Linked DNA regions of Notamacropus eugenii. The protein of the gene in region 1 interacts with the protein of each later gene in a biochemical or structural test. Links are inferred from orthologs where the notes say so. Each region holds a gene or a part of one and is shown in the gene's direction. Other genes may lie near its edges.

Region 1 (7,156 bases):
CAAGGGGCAGGTACCACATATCTCCTGTGTTCTCTGAGGCCCTTCCAGGGCTGTAATTCCGTGATTCTGTCTGAGCACTGAGGTACTCATTTCCTCCCTCACTTCTGAGAGCAGTTATGGTCCGTCCTTTTCCTCTCCTAGGCTCCACGAGGCAGCAGTTTATGGGAAGCATCAGCAACTCAAGCCCCTTGAACTCGGGCAACATCTATCAGAAGCGTCCGGTGCTGGGGGATGTGGTGTCTGCCCCTGTCCTGGGCTGCCTCATGCATGTGGCCTGCCTCTATGGGGAGCCCGTCCTCACCTACCAGTATCTTCCCTATATCAGCTACCTGGTCAGTGCCTTGGTCCTGAGCTTTCCCACACATCCCTGGGGCCTCATTTAACTGGGACAGGGCTGGGGCTGTGAGATGGCACCAGATGGGGGTGGGGTGGGAAGATGAACAGAGCTTCTTTCTCAGGGCCCATGAGCAGGCAGAGGTCTTTGGGACCATCTCTCTGGGCAGAGTTCAGAGTGACTTAGCCTCTTTTCCCTTCCTTGGTCCAAGGTGGCTCCTGGAATGGGGGGAAGTCCCAGCCGCCTAAATAGCCGGAAGGAGGCAGGGCTACTGGCAGCCGTCACCCTGACACAGAAGATCATTGTGTATCTCTGTGACACCACACTCATGGACATCCTGCCCCGCATCAGCCACGAGGTCCTCCTGCCTGTGCTCAACTCCCTGACCTCCCTCATCACAGGGTAGGCCAATCCCTCCAAGGGGCAGCCTGGGGACACAGCCAGAGAGGGGCTTTGAGCTGAGCCCACTGGGCCTCATTCTAGCCCTGCTTTTGCAGCTAACTAGCTGTGTGAGCTTCAGGAAATCACATCCCCTCTGTGGGTCTCAGTTTCATCTTTAAAATGAGGGGATTGAATTGGGTCCTTTTTGGGTCTTGAACCTTTTTTGGTGAGGCCTTGGGACCCCCTCCTCAGAACATTTTTAAATGTGTAAGATAAAGTTCACAGATTTAGAAAGGAAACCAAAGTTTTAGTGGAAATAAAGATGTAATTTTTTTCCCATCCATGTTCGTGGACCCCTGGATTCACGGCCCCTCCAAGGGGAGTCTGAGAGACCGTGACCTGGATTAGTTCTGCTTCTCTCCCTAATGCTCCCCAGGGCCCCAGGGAGGGTCAGGATTGGGCAGTAGGGAAGAGACAGAGCACAGTCTAAACGTGTTGCCTTCAGGTTCCCTGGGGGGGCCCAGGCCCGGACCGTTTTGTGCTTGAAGACCATTAGCCTGATCGCTCTGATCTGCCTGCGCATTGGGCAGGAGATGGTCCAGCAGCACCTCAGTGAGACAGTAGCCACCTTCTTCCAGGTGTTCTCCCTGGTGCACGAGCTTCAGTGCCAGGTGGGTGTGGTAGGGTGGCATGGAGGGTATGGGGCTGACCCTGCCAGGCCAGTGAAGAGGCACAAGCCTGGGCTTGTCTTTTTCTGCTAGGCACTGAGGCCAGAGACTCCAAGTCTGAGTGAGGGCCGTGTACTGGAGGTACCCTTCTTGGATGGGCAGCGGCGGGCTGTCGACCTGGCCTTGCTGGATGAGCTTCAGAAGGTGTTCACTCTCGAGATGGCTTACATGACCTACGTGCCCTTCTCCTGCCTGCTGGGTAGGAGCCACCCCGCTCAACCTCCCTGGACCCAAGCCTTCCCACCTCATCCCTTTGCTCCTTGTTCGCCCTCCCTCCCCTTGACCCCATCTTTGTTTTCCTCTCTGTTCCTGTGCCTTGTTTCCAGCCTTGTATTCCCTTCTGCTTTCTTGGAGGACATGCCCATGATGCTTCCTCCAGGCTCCCCTTTCTCATTTTAGGCCATGTGGCATCCTAGAGGGTCTTGCCCTGCAAAGGGAAAAGAACAGTGGACTGTGATATGCCTTTGACAAGTGGTGTGACCTTGGGCAAGTCACTTCCACTCTGGGGATTTGGTCTCCCTGCCAGTCAAATGAGGGGTTGGACTTGGTTGTCTTTAAGGTTGCTTCTAGTCTCCATCGCTGGATTCCTGTCCCTAGGGTCTGGCCCATTAACTGTCCCGAGGGGCTCTGCTGTCAGTGTCTCAAGGGTGCCAAATGTTAAGTGCCCCCCTTCTGGGCTCGGGAGGGCAGTTCCACAGCCTGAAGCGCTATCAGTGTTGTCCACCAATCCCTTCTTTGTTTGGACTTTGGGGCCTTGGCAGGGACAGCCTTCCTTCTCTGGGCCTGAGCTCTTCCCACCCATGTCTAGGCGATGTCATCCAGAAGATCGTCCCCAACCATGTTCTCGTGGGACAGCTGGCAGGGCAGTATTTGGAGAGTGCCAGCCCGGTGGGGCAGGACCCTATGAACTTGGCACCCATGCCTAGTACCTCAGCAGAGCAGGACCCTCAAGGCAGGGGAGTGAACCATGATGACGGCAACTCGGGCACTTTTGGGAGCGTGCTGGTCGGGAACCGTATCCAGATTCCTGTAGACACCCAGCCTGAGAGTCCAGGTCCCCTGGGCCCCAGCTCAGGAGTGTCTGGCTGTCTCGGGGGCCTCTGCGAGATGGGTGGGGAGGAGAATTCACTGAAGCGGGATCTGCCTCGATGTCCCCATGGATTGAGTGGGAACTGGTTGGCCTACTGGCAGTATGAGATTGGTGTCAGCCAACATGATGCCCACTTCCACTTCCACCAAATCAGGCTGCAGAGCTTTCTGGGCCACTCAGGGGCTGTGAAATGTGTGGCCCCACTGAGCAGTGAGGACTTCTTCCTGAGCGGTAGCAAAGACAGGACCGTCCGGCTTTGGCCACTCTACAACTGTGGCGATGGCACCAGTGAGACAGCGCCTCGCCTCATCTATACCCACCATCGCAAGAGCATCTTCCACGTCAGCCAGTTGGAGGCATCTCAGCAGGTCGTGAGCTGTGATGGCACCGTCCACGTCTGGGACCCGTTCACAGGTGAGGCCTCCCCTGTGCTATGTGATGGGGAGGCAGGCCACGCGGGCCAGGACCTAGGGATAAGATGAGAGCCTGGCCTGACAGAGGAGAAAACGGTTTACCTTCATGCTGCTTCTCTCCAGCCCACTGCTGACCTCTCGTGACTGGGCTGCAGAGAAGATTAATTTGGAGAAGGAGGTGGGGGGAGAGAGAGATGGTTATGGGGTGAGGGGAGGAAAAGGGAAGTGGGTTAGCCTGTGGGCTTAGTAGTAGGAAGTGTGGGGCTAGGTGTTGGCTATGGGTGGGAGAGGGATGGGGGTGGGCATGGGTCAGGGGTGTAGATGAAGTAGGGATAGGGAACAGGCTTGGGCCAGGCCTGAGGGGGGTAAGAGAATCAGGAGGCAGTGTGCCTGTTTAGGGGAGGGGTCTAAAGCTCCTAGGCAGGATCTTGACCTTGGGAAGTATCTTTAGCAGGCCCTGAAAGCTATCCATGGGGAGTAACAGGAAGCTATAGTGGACCCCTGGGTTGGGTGGTCAGAGCTTCTCTTGTAACGTCAGACAGAGGGCTTTGACCATTCCCTCCTGGACCCCCTGACTTGGTGCTTTTACCCTCACAGGGAAGACTGTGCGGATAGTGGAGCCCTGGGATAATCGGGTGCCTTGGACTGCGGTGGCTGTCATGCCTGCCCCCCACACCAGCATCACCCTGGCTAGTGCGGATTCCACCCTGCGTTTTGTGGACTGTCGGAAGCCTGGACTGCAGGTGTGTGCCAGGGTGCAGGAATGAAATGGGAAACAGTCCCTGTTTTGTGCTTGTAGTTGGAGGGACCCACAGAGAGCCAGTCAGAGACAGCTCAGGAAACACTGGAGCTCCTACCCAAGGAAGACAAGGCCTTGTTAAATGGATGAGAAACCTCTGAGGGAATGGGGTGGTAGAGGAAAAGCAGGGCCCCGAGGGTTCTTTGGGAGTGAAACATGGAGAGGGCCATGGGAAGGCCCAGAGGTGTCCAGGCCATCTCTCAGTCCTTGTCTCTGGTCCTATAGCACGAGTTCCGTCTAGGGGGTGGCTTGAATGCTGGCCTTGTCCGATCATTGGCCGTTAGCCCCAGTGGCCGAAGTGTCGTAGCAGGCTTCTCCTCGGGCTTCATGGTACTCTTGGACACCAGGACTGGACTTGTCCTTCGAGGGTGGCCGGCTCATGAGGGTGACATCCTGCAGATCAAGGTAAGGTCTCCCTCCTTCCTTCCCTCTCACAGATTGGGCGCAGCCTGGACATCTTATGCCTGCAGCTCTGGCTATTTGGCCAGAAGGTAGATGGGACAGACCTGAGCTGGCTTCCTTCTTACCCACCCCCACCCCTGTCTCCGTTTCTTGGAGTTCAAGACCCTGAGAGTTGACTGAGACTGAGCCAATGTCCCCTCGCATTTTGCTGTTGCACTTCCAGCTTCAGCATCCCTCATATCTTTGGGACTTGACAGTGGGACCCTCCATGTGGCAGGGGCTCTGGGGGGGAGGGAGAGAAGAGGTGTCACTTCTGCCCCCCTGGGGCCCTGTTCTAATGAGTAACCCTTGTCCATATTTGCCTGGCCCCAAGGGGCAGGGGTCAGTCTCTCTGTCCTTGACCTAGTTGAGGTTCAGTAAAGATCAGGGAGGCCTGTTTACTGCCCCCGCATGGCTGAGCAGAGTCCAGACTCTTCTCCTCCCCCTGACTCTCCCTTGGTGACCAGGGGGAGTGGGGGTGGTGCAGGCCCATGAGGGAGGACCCCCAACTCCTGTCTTCATGCCCAGCTCTAGAGTGCTGCTGAGGAGGAAGCCCCTGGGGGAGTCAGGTATGAGGGAATACCCTTTCTCTACCCTCATGATACACAGTTTGCTGAGCTCAGAAAAGGGCCACTCAGCCAAGAGTCTCTGAGCATCCTCAGGCTTCTGTGGCAGTCCTAGGGACTACCAGGAACAGTGATGATGATCCCATCAAATCTGTCCCTGCAGAATGGATTCTGAGGAGTAGTTTTGTGGCTCAGCTTGTGAGAGGAAGGGGAACCCCCCTCAGTTCCTGGCTAATTGCTATGGCCTCCCTCTCTCTCTGGGGCAGGCTGTGGAAGGGGGCACCCTGATCAGCTCATCCTCAGACCACTCCCTGACCATCTGGAAAGAACTGGAACAGAAGCCCACCCACCACTACAAGTCCCCCTCAGATCCCATTCACACGTTCGACCTCTATGGCAGCGAGGTGGTGACGGGCACCGTGGCCAACAAGATTGGTGTCTGCTCCTTGACAGAGCCCCCCTCCCAGGCCACCACCAAGCTCAGCTCAGAGAACTTCCGGGGGACACTCACTAGCCTGGCCGTGTTACCTACCAAGCGTCACCTTTTACTGGGCTCAGACAACGGGGCTGTCCGACTCCTGGCATAGACGAGGGACATAGCAGACACAGGCTGAGGAATGTGCTCAGGGTCAGCACACATGGCCCCAGATTCCTTTCTCCCAGTTTGGTGACTTCGCCCATCTGTTTCAAAACTCATCTGCAAGCATGGTGTTTGGGCTTCCAAGGCATGTCCCAGTTGGGCGAAGGGCCCTAGGGCTCCATACCATCTGTGCCTAACACCAAAGAGGGAAACCCCAGATTCCAAAGCCCAAGACTTATCCCCTCATGCACCCCTACTAAACCTCCTGAAGCCCTGCCCTGGGCCTGTTGCCATATGGATGATCCCATCCTGGACTTAAACGCTCTAGGCCATTGGTCTACTGGGAATAGAGGAGACCAGGGAGCCTCAGAGAAGCCTTGACTTGTGCCTTGGGTGTTGGCTGGCTGACTTTCCTGGCCCCCTCTCCCACCCTGAGGCTGAGTTTGGAGGACACAGAGGCTACTCTTTAGCTGTATCTGCCACTACAAGGCTTTGGCTACCTCCTGGTGAGGTTGGTGCTGCAGATGGGGTACCCCTCTGCTCCTGAAGGAGAGGGGTGGTGATGGCCCTAGCAGATCATGACTCCTGTGTCTTCACCCCTTCCCTCACTGGGAAAGGTTTCTGCCGCTCTGTGTACCCCAGGAGGAAAGGCAGAGTAGGGGGTTAAGGAGTGAGGAGGATGTCAGTGGTGCTGGTACTGACCACTGACCACTCCTGAGGGCTTCAGGCCATAGGTAGGGTCTGGCCTGGGGCAGGCTCAGGATGACAGTTGTTCTGTCCCAGAGCCTCCATTCTGTCCCTTTCCTATCTGGTTTAGGACCAATATAGGGGAAGAGAAAAGACATGAGGTAAGAGCAGAGTGGAGCCAGGCTTGGCTTTGCACATAGCTGGTGGATCCTTCTATTCAACTCCCATCCCCAAAGGGGCTAGATGGGAAATCCCTCTCCTCCCGTCTCCCCCGAGCATTTTGTGCCTTGAGCTGGGGCGGCAGCTTCTGAAAACCCTTGCCCCACAGGACCCTGTGTCAGACTGGGGAAAAGGTTCCCTTAGGTCCCAGAAATATCTCATGGGGCAGCATTCCCAGAACCTGGGGTGGGGGAGCAGGGATGCCTCTTGATCCCAGCCTCCCATCCACTATTTGCAATAGATGTAAATATGACAATAAACACTTTGGAAGAGCCATGAAATGGAGTAAGGCTGTTGATATGGGGTCTGGGGGTATAGTAGGAGGGGCAGGAAGGAAGCAGGCCCGTCTGTATCAGATGCAAATAGCCAGCTTCACAAGGAAACTACTTACCTTACTGAGTTCAGCCTCTATAAGAAAAGGATGGGGTACCCTTCCTTAAGGAACTGATGCTGTGTGGCCGTTTTAGATGAGGGACTTCCAGCAGGTGAGTGGAGACCCCGACCTCCCAAGCAGTCAAGTGGTGATGGTGCCAGGTGCTGTGGGAGCCATTGGGTCCCAGAGCTCCACCCATAAAGGAAGGTGAACCTCACCCACCCACTGAATGGGATTAAATCACTTGGGTTCACCCAGCAAGGTCCAGGCTGTATGCTCAATATTGAGCCGATAGTAAATCCTCAAAATATTAATGTGGACTGACAAGTTAGAAAATCCAGTGACTAAGCTGAAAGAAATGAAGATGTGTGTGTTACTGGATTTTCCTAGGAATGGAGTCTGTGCCCGTTGGAGGTGGGAGGAGGGAGAGGAGAAGTCTCAGACTTGTTAATTAACAAGCATGCATTGAGCACAGCATGTGCCCAGCACTATGCTAAGTTCTGGGGGTGCCCTCCACAAGCACATGTTCTAATGGAGGAGACAGC
Region 2 (7,985 bases), on another chromosome or scaffold:
GAAGGAAGACTGTCAATCCTCAGGCAGTCCTTGACCAACTCTTGCCCTGGGAGTCTTTCCACCATCCTCTACTCCTGGGATGAGAGACCCGAGAGGTGGAGGATGTACACAGAGGCTTCAACTTTCACAAGGCAGGGTGTGGTCACTAAAGAGCTGAGCTTGGAGTCAGGAAAGACCTGGGTTCAAATCTCACCTGTGACACTTACTAGTAGTTTGTATGACCTTGGGCAAGTCACACCACTTTGAGTCTCAGTTTCTCTCATCTGTCAAATGTGGGTAATGATAGCGCCCACCTCACAGGGTTGTTGTGAGGATCTGATAAGACTATGTATGGAAAGCATTTTGTAAACCTTGGAAGTTCTATAGAGATGCGAGTCATCATTATAACCAACCCCCTCAAAACTTGACCCATCCGCCGTGTCTATGGGAGGGTAAAGTAAGGGAAGGCCCACTAGGAAGATGAAGATGATGGCTATTTATTAGTCTTCAGAATGCTCCCCTTTTTGGTGATAATGATTCCACCTCAGTCAGCCCAGGTTCTTTATCTGAGCCTGAGGACATGTTCCACCTCAAACACTTTGAGGGCCTCAGATGAATTCCTCTGCCCACCCCTCAGATCTTCCCCTTGGGAGCAGGTAAAGAAACATCCACAACTCACCTTCCAGCAGCTAAATAACACAGTGGATAGGACACTCCATCCAAGTCAGGAAGACCTAAGTTCAAATACCATCTCCCACACTAACTGGCTATGTGACTCTGGGCAAGCAGGTTCTCTGTGCCTCAGTTTCCTCCTCTGCAAAATGAGGAGGTTGCACTCCATGGCCTCTAAGCCAATGGGGTCATTATTTGAAAAGCCATTTGCCTGCCCCCCTCAAAGCCTCCGTAGGGTGTATCAGGATCTAAGCTTCCTGAAAACCTGGTATAAGGGGGTGGGGGTGGAGGGACAGGCCCAATTCTGATCACAGCCCTCTCCCCCATCTAGCCCTAGACTATGGTTTCAGTAAACTCAAAGGTATCCAGACCCTTACCATGGAGACTGCTTGGCATTCCCAAGGGCATAGGAAGGCACTGAAGTCCTTCAGGGAACTGGGGACAAGGTTCTGGAGGCATTAAGCTGGTCACAGGTGGCCAGAGGAGATGGGAACAGTGGTCCCTTTCCCTCAGGAACAAGTCTGGGCCAGGCTAGGAGTGATGGAGCCCTCTGGTTCTGTAGCAGCATACTCTAAGATGTAGTACTTGGACTCACAAAGAGGAGGGGACAGTCAACATCCATCTCCACTAAGCATTCCAAGATCTGGCCTTACCCACCCAACTCGTTCCAACCAGAGGCTGGCCCCATCCACTTTTTTCTGGTCAGTCAGGCAGACAGGCAGGCAAGCAGGCAACAAACCTCAACACAAAAGCCCTTGTTTAGGAGTCAAGAGACCTGCCTGGATTCACACCCCATTTTGACAAATGAGTCACTGTGTAATCCAAGACAAACCCATCTCTCAGTTGCATCCGTAAAATGATGAGATGGGACTGTAATCTCTGAGGCCCAGTCTATCTCTGACACCCAGAGCTCTGTCTCTTCATTCTCTCTCAGTCTAAGCAAGGATACTGCAGGGAGGTGAGGTTTCTGAGTAAATGGAGACCATTTCAAAGAGAGAATCAGTTGGGATTCAGGACATTTATTTGACCTTATATATTCCCCCAATGTCAGGTAGGAGCTTGGACAGAGCACTTGGGCCTGCCAGGACTAACTGTCTGGGAGTGAGGGGAGAGAGCTAAGGGAGGGTTTTACACCTTGTAAGAAACTGAATAGTAAGACAGACACATAAATATTATATTATGAGTATATGTGATATAATACATTATTACATTACATATAATGTCTGGGGGAGGAAGGGAGGATTTTATTTTTTTAGGATTTTATTACAGTGAGACACACACGTTATATATTATGTAATATAAAATTGTATTTTATATATAATGTCTAGGGGGTGTGGAGGGAGGGCTCAGGGAAGATTTTAAACTTTTTGAGAAACTCTACAGTGAGGCGTCTATGTGACTGTACAGTTTTTCACAAAGTGTAAAGCGCTCTGTTGGCCTTCTCCCTACAGACAGTACTGGGAGTTCCAAGTGCTCTGCACATGCTCCTACATGACATTATTCTGAAGGTCTGCAGGCCTCAAGGACTCATGCAGCCCATCACACTTTTCTCCTCTCCATTCACATGGGATCTCCAGAGCTTCACAAAGGCCAAGGTCTGGGCCCAGTTCCATATCATCCACATGCCAACCTTACCTCTCCCCTTGCCCACCTTCTGGTCCAATGGGACTCGTCATTCCTTTAATGTAAAATTTACCAATAACCTCATGATTCTAATGATACTAATCCTACACCCCCCACCTGCCCCAATTCTCTCTGTGCTACCAAACTGATCTTATGATCACAGAATCACACAGAATCAGAGAACTGGAAGGAACCTCAAAGGACATCCAGCAGTAGTCCAACCTGTACCTGAAGGGGCTCTCATAACATTACCATGTCCAATACCTCATTTTATGGATGAGGAAATTGAGATCCAGAATGGGCAAGGGACTCGGCCAAAGTTACGCAGCTAAAGTCAAGTGACAGAATTAGGATTTAAATTCAGGTCTTCTGACTCCAAATTAGTTCCCTTTCTTGCCTATTTCAGTGAAGGCCATAGCCAGTTCCTCCTCTGACTTCCTGTATCCCTTGTCCAATGTCCTCCACAAATAGATGGCATTTGACTGCTCTTTCTCCAGCATGTCCCAGTTAATGTTTTTAATTTATTGATATCTTTTGATTTTGCATTACCTTTATTTCTGAATATACACTTTCCCCTATTAAGTCACTTCTTTTAATCAAGAATAAAAACAGGGAGAAAAGTAAAACAGGGCATGTCTGTGGAAGAGGGAATACATTTGTTCTACTTGACCTTTCAAATTCAAGCAGACCCTACTAGAATGCCCACCCACTCCCTAGCCTTTTTCAGAATAAATGACTCCACTTCCTTCAACTGGTCCTCATCTGGCGCCATGTTAAGGCTCTTCACTAACCTGCCTACCTTCCTCTGGACCTTTATCAGTTTATCCGTGTCCTTCCTAAAATGTGGTATCCACCATCAGTCATAGTCTCCAGATGTGGTCTGACCAGGACAGGGAGAGACAATCACTTCCCGGATACCAGAACTGGCCTTTTCTTTCTCTTTTTTTAAATTTATCTAGCATTTTTTTGGTCTCCCTATCTCTACCTCCCATTCACCGGAAGAAGAAGAAAATAACCCTCAACAACAATCATCCCCATCTGGGCCATGCCCCCAAAGTGTTTCTTCTCCTGTGTCTTCAGTCCATGATCTTTCTTTCAGGAGATGGGTCACATTCTTCAGCATCCATCAGTCTTCTGGATTATGGTTGATCATGGTGTTGATCAGAATTCTTTTTTTCCTCTTTATTTATATGTTTATTTATTTTTAATTTTCAACATTTACTTCCATATACTTTTGAGTTTTAAATTTTCTCTGCCTCCCTCCTCAAGACAGAGTACAATCTAATATAGACTCTACATATACATTCTTAAAGGACCCAAAGTCTCCCAGTGTACCCTGGGTCATCTCCAGTCATCCTGAGAAATATCAGGTCTCTGGATTCAGATGGCTCTGGAGGAGAAGTGATGTTGGTGACCTGCACAGCCCTCCTTCACTCAAAACAAAGTCAAGTCAAAGTCACGTCATTATTTCTCTGATGGCATGGTCTTCTTTGGCAATGAAGGACAAACACAACAACAATTTTCACGTTAGTCATGTTGTAAAGAAGAATTAGGAGGAATCATGAGAAAGAGAAAACAAAACAAAAAAAAGAGAGAGAGGTCAAATAGTCTGCTTCCACCTGCATTCCGACTCCATGGTTCTTTCTCTAGATGTGGATATCATATTCCATCATGAGTCTTTTGGAGTTATTCTTTGATCCTTGCATTTCTGAGAAGAGCTAGGTCCATCAAAGTTGTTGATAAGAATTCTTAGGCCTTTCAGAGTTGCTGTTTTTACATTGTTGATGTTAGAGTATCAGTGGTTCTCCTGGTTATGCTCAGTTCCCTCTGCATCTGTCCATATGAATTCCCAGGCTTCTCTGAAACCCTCTGCCTCATCTTTTATTTCGGTGGAATCATCTTCCATTATAGTCATACAGCATAAATTGTACAAACACTCCCCAAATGGTAAATAACTCCAAGACCCCTTTAGTTTCCTGCTCTTTGCCAGAAAAGAGCTTCTATAAATATTTTGATACATATGAATCCTTTTCCCCTTTCTTTGATCTTTTAGAGTACAGGCCCAGCAGTACATCACTGGGTCAAAGGACATGCACAGTTTAGTAACTTTGGGGGCAGGCTATGCTTCTCTTACTACAGTTCAAAATGGCACCAGCTTTTGGGCTACCATGTCACCTTGTTCACTCCTACTGGAGTCCACTTGCAGTCCAGTGCTGTGGCTTGAGGTCTGCTAAGATCCTCAGATTGTTTTCAGAGAAACTGCTCTCTGTGAGTTTGTGGCTACTTCCTTGCATGGGACAATGCTTATCTAAATACATAATTGGGTAGATTTGTGTGTACCTGTGTGTCTAACCTTGAGTGAACATGTGCATGTCTGAGAATGAGCATACCTCCATATGTTTATGCAAGCATAAATCTACATGTGTCTCTGTATGTGAGCCTCTGTGTGCGTGTTTTTGTGTCTTTGAATCTGTGAACATGGGGGTCTAGCTGTATCCCAATGCTAAATAGAAATGACATTTGGAAATCCTGGTATCCTGGAGATAATTGTGTGGGCCCATGAAGCCAAGCTGAATTGGCCCAGCCTAGACAAATGAGCAGTCAGGCTGCTTCCTGCAATAGGCCTGACCCCTTCCGGTCAGGCTGAAAACTTGGCAAGATTGCCTCCCCCTTCCTTCCCCAATTCCCCCTTCCCTAACACCCCCCACCCCCAGCCACCGTTTGCTCTTGCATCACTGACAGAGACAGTTGGAAATGGAGCATCTTTGGAGGAGTTTGGAAGGGGAACTGGACTTTGACTTCCTGCCAGCTCCCGAGGGGCCCTGGGGCTGCTGGGGCCATGAGTTCCCTGGTAAGAGTTGAATGACCTCTGGGGATATTAGATAGGACAGTCTGGATCAGGCTGGGAGATGGTCTCACCGCTGAAGTCACTTGGAGTGCTGAGATTTGAGGATCCTGAGGAGGCCTCCAAGTGATGATCTTTTGAGATCATAAGCCTCTTGGAGCTGAAATTACAACTCCCAGGTCTGCTCCAGCTGATTCATCCTTCTCTTCTGCCCTCTCTCTTTCTGACCTGTTGTAGGAGGGTAGATAGAAGGCTGCCACTGCTGCGGAGGTTCCTATATCCCACATCTCGTTATTGCCCCATTCCTCAGGGTCCTGGGTCTCTTTCTCCTGCCCCCATAGGGGAAAATAGGGGAAGTAACAGCCCCCAACCAGCCCCTGGGGCCTGTGGGGTAATTACAACGAACTCTCCATCAGGAACTATAAGTGGAGAGATTGGGAAAGAGGCCCCACAAAGACCCCAAGGCTGCTGCAGACGTCTCCCTGCCTATGTTGAGCATGGCGTCCCCCCTTCACGGCACTCTCCTCCTCCTGCTGCTGCTCTTCATCCACGGGAGTAAGTCTTGCCTGCCTGTTTGTCCACCTGCCTACCTGTCTGCCTGTCTGTCTAGCACTGGAGAGATAAAGGTTATGGGTGCTGGGTGAGAGACAGCAGAAGACACAGGGAAATTTCAACCTTAGGGTTCTTCTTCTAGGGCAAGGAGGAACAGTCATTCATTCATTCATACAAATATTATCACTTGAGGTACTTCTTAGAGGGGGATTAGTTATAGATCACAGAGCTAGCAGATGCTTTAGAACATGGAATGGTAGAGTTAGAAGACAGAAAGAGAGAGAGAGAGAGGGATGGATGGATGGATGGATGAATGAATGCATGGATAACTAGGTAGGTAGGCAGATAGATGATGGAACATTTATTAAATACCTACTATGAGCTAGCTACTGGACTAAGGAGCTCAGGACATAAAATATAGAATATTAGAACTGGGAGGTGTATAGAATACAGACTGTCAGAGCTAGAAGAAGTCTGATAACACAGAACCTAGAATGCTGGAAATGGAAGGGACCTCAGAGAACAGAAAATAGTAGGTCAGGGCTGAGAGGAACCTTAGAATATAAAGCACAAAATGTGAGACAAGAAGAACCTTCAAACCTGGAAGGTTAGAATGAAAGGAATATCAGAAGATAGGAACATGGCATTTCAGAACAGGAAGGCAGTGGTGAACATAGAACACAGAATATCAAAGCAGGAAGCATCTTGGAGCCTAGAACCTAGAATGTTAGAACTAGAAGGGACATTAGAATGTAGAAGCCAGGGTGTTTCAAAAGTCTAAGACGAGTCTATTGAAATACCCTATGTTAGAGATTGAGGAACTGCTAGAATAAGAAACATGAAGCATAGACTTTTAAAATGGGAAAGGAGACAGAATGTGGAATAGCAGACATAGAAGAAGGGACCTTAGGAAAGAGGAAAGAAGAAAATTTAGAACATAGAATGCTAGAGATGAAAGGGCCCTTAGAAGCTCAAATAGAGAAACCTCAAAGCTGGAAGGGGTCTTAGAACACAGAACATGGAATTTTTGAGCCAGAAGCATAGAACGTCAAAGGTGGAAGAGCCTTAGAACTCAGGGTACAGGAAAGATCCTTAGAACAAAGAAATCAGAGCTGTACGGTGTGTTAGAATGGAAACATAGAATCTTCAATCAAGAAAAGACCTTGGAGCATAAAGCACAGTATCGTGAGGTGCAAGGAAGCCCAAAACATACAACATATTATGATAATAATAACAATAGCTGGTGTTTACATAGTGCCTTAAGTACTTTCAAAGTACAAGGAATATCTTAGTTGATATTCAGTTGACTTCTGAAGATGGGGCTAGGCTAAGTGTGGTCCCTTCCAAATCAAGTAGGACAGGGTGTCCCCAGTGGGGGTGAGATCCCCAATACTGGACGTATTCAAACAGAAGTTGCATGAGGGATTCATGTATATAATGGACACTAGGTCTATATCAGAGGTGGAGAACCTGCAACCTGGAGGGTACATGTGGTTCTCTAGGTCCTCGGGTGCAGCCTTTAGACTGAGTCCAAATTTTATGAAATAAATCCTTTTATTAAGGGGATTTGTTCTGTGAAGTTTGAATTCTGTCAAAGGGCTGCACTTGAGGACCCAGAGGGCCACATATGACCTTGAGGTTGCAATTTCCCACAACAAGGGGGTACAGTAGGTAGGTGCTGGGCCCAGAATCAAGAAGACTTGAGTTCAAGTCTCAGCCACTTGCTAGTTGTGTAACCTTGGGCAAGTCACTTAAACTCTGTCTGCATCAATTTCCTAAGCTGCCAAGTGAGTATCATAGTAGCACCTACCCCACTAAGGATATCATGAGGCTGAAGCTAGATTATATAGGTAAAGTGTTTTGCAAACCTTAAAGAGCTATATTTAATAAGGAGCTATTATTACAGCTTTAAAACAATCTTTTCACCATCCGAAGCATCCCTCACCAACCTCAGCTCATTCTGAGAATCAGTATTCCTGACCTGTCCTTACAGGATGACTCCTCTGTTTCTATAAATCTGTTTGCTGCCATTGCTTCTATATTCTGCACGTGTCTTTTAAAAATCCCAGCTGTTTAATGAGCTCCCTCTGCAGTCAAATTATTCTTTTTAGATAAATCGCTTTTGTCTAAACTCATCACTGGAAGGCTTCTCTTTCTGAGTGGTCAGCATTTCATTCTTGAGAACTTTCCATCCCTCTTGGGCTGACTGTTAGACCACATGGAATTTTAGATCACAAGATCATATTCACCCTTTCTTTAAATACTTTTAAATCTAAAATCTAGACTGGGGACCCAAATTCCAAGTTGGAACAGT

Evidence for each region.
Region 2: of the proteins of SERPINF2 (region 1) and neutrophil elastase-like, one has a biochemical effect on the other in vitro, tested with the Homo sapiens proteins (2 studies listed by BioGRID). The link is inferred for Notamacropus eugenii from reciprocal best matches to the Homo sapiens genes SERPINF2 and ELANE.

What each region holds. Positions count from the first base shown.
Region 1 is NC_092873.1:39,759,211-39,766,366, forward strand, and holds the start of SERPINF2 (alpha-2-antiplasmin), read left to right. Parts: upstream 1-4,124; coding exon 4,125-4,150; intron 4,151-5,018; coding exon of another isoform or gene 5,019-5,339; exon of another isoform or gene 5,340-6,519; intron 6,520-7,156. Other genes in the region: WDR81 (WD repeat-containing protein 81), read left to right, coding at 142-332, 546-736, 1,221-1,386, 1,477-1,642, 2,252-2,947, 3,544-3,689, 3,971-4,150, 5,019-5,339.
Region 2 is NC_092875.1:60,987,442-60,995,426, forward strand, and holds the start of neutrophil elastase-like, read left to right. Parts: upstream 1-4,983; 5' UTR 4,984-5,028; coding exon 5,029-5,125; exon of another isoform or gene 5,126-5,298; intron 5,299-5,535; exon of another isoform or gene 5,536-5,607; coding exon of another isoform or gene 5,608-5,674; intron 5,675-7,985. Other genes in the region: myeloblastin-like, read left to right, coding at 1-34. UniProt on the Homo sapiens protein: Serine protease that modifies the functions of natural killer cells, monocytes and granulocytes. Inhibits C5a-dependent neutrophil enzyme release and chemotaxis. Promotes cleavage of GSDMB, thereby inhibiting pyroptosis. Promotes blood coagulation.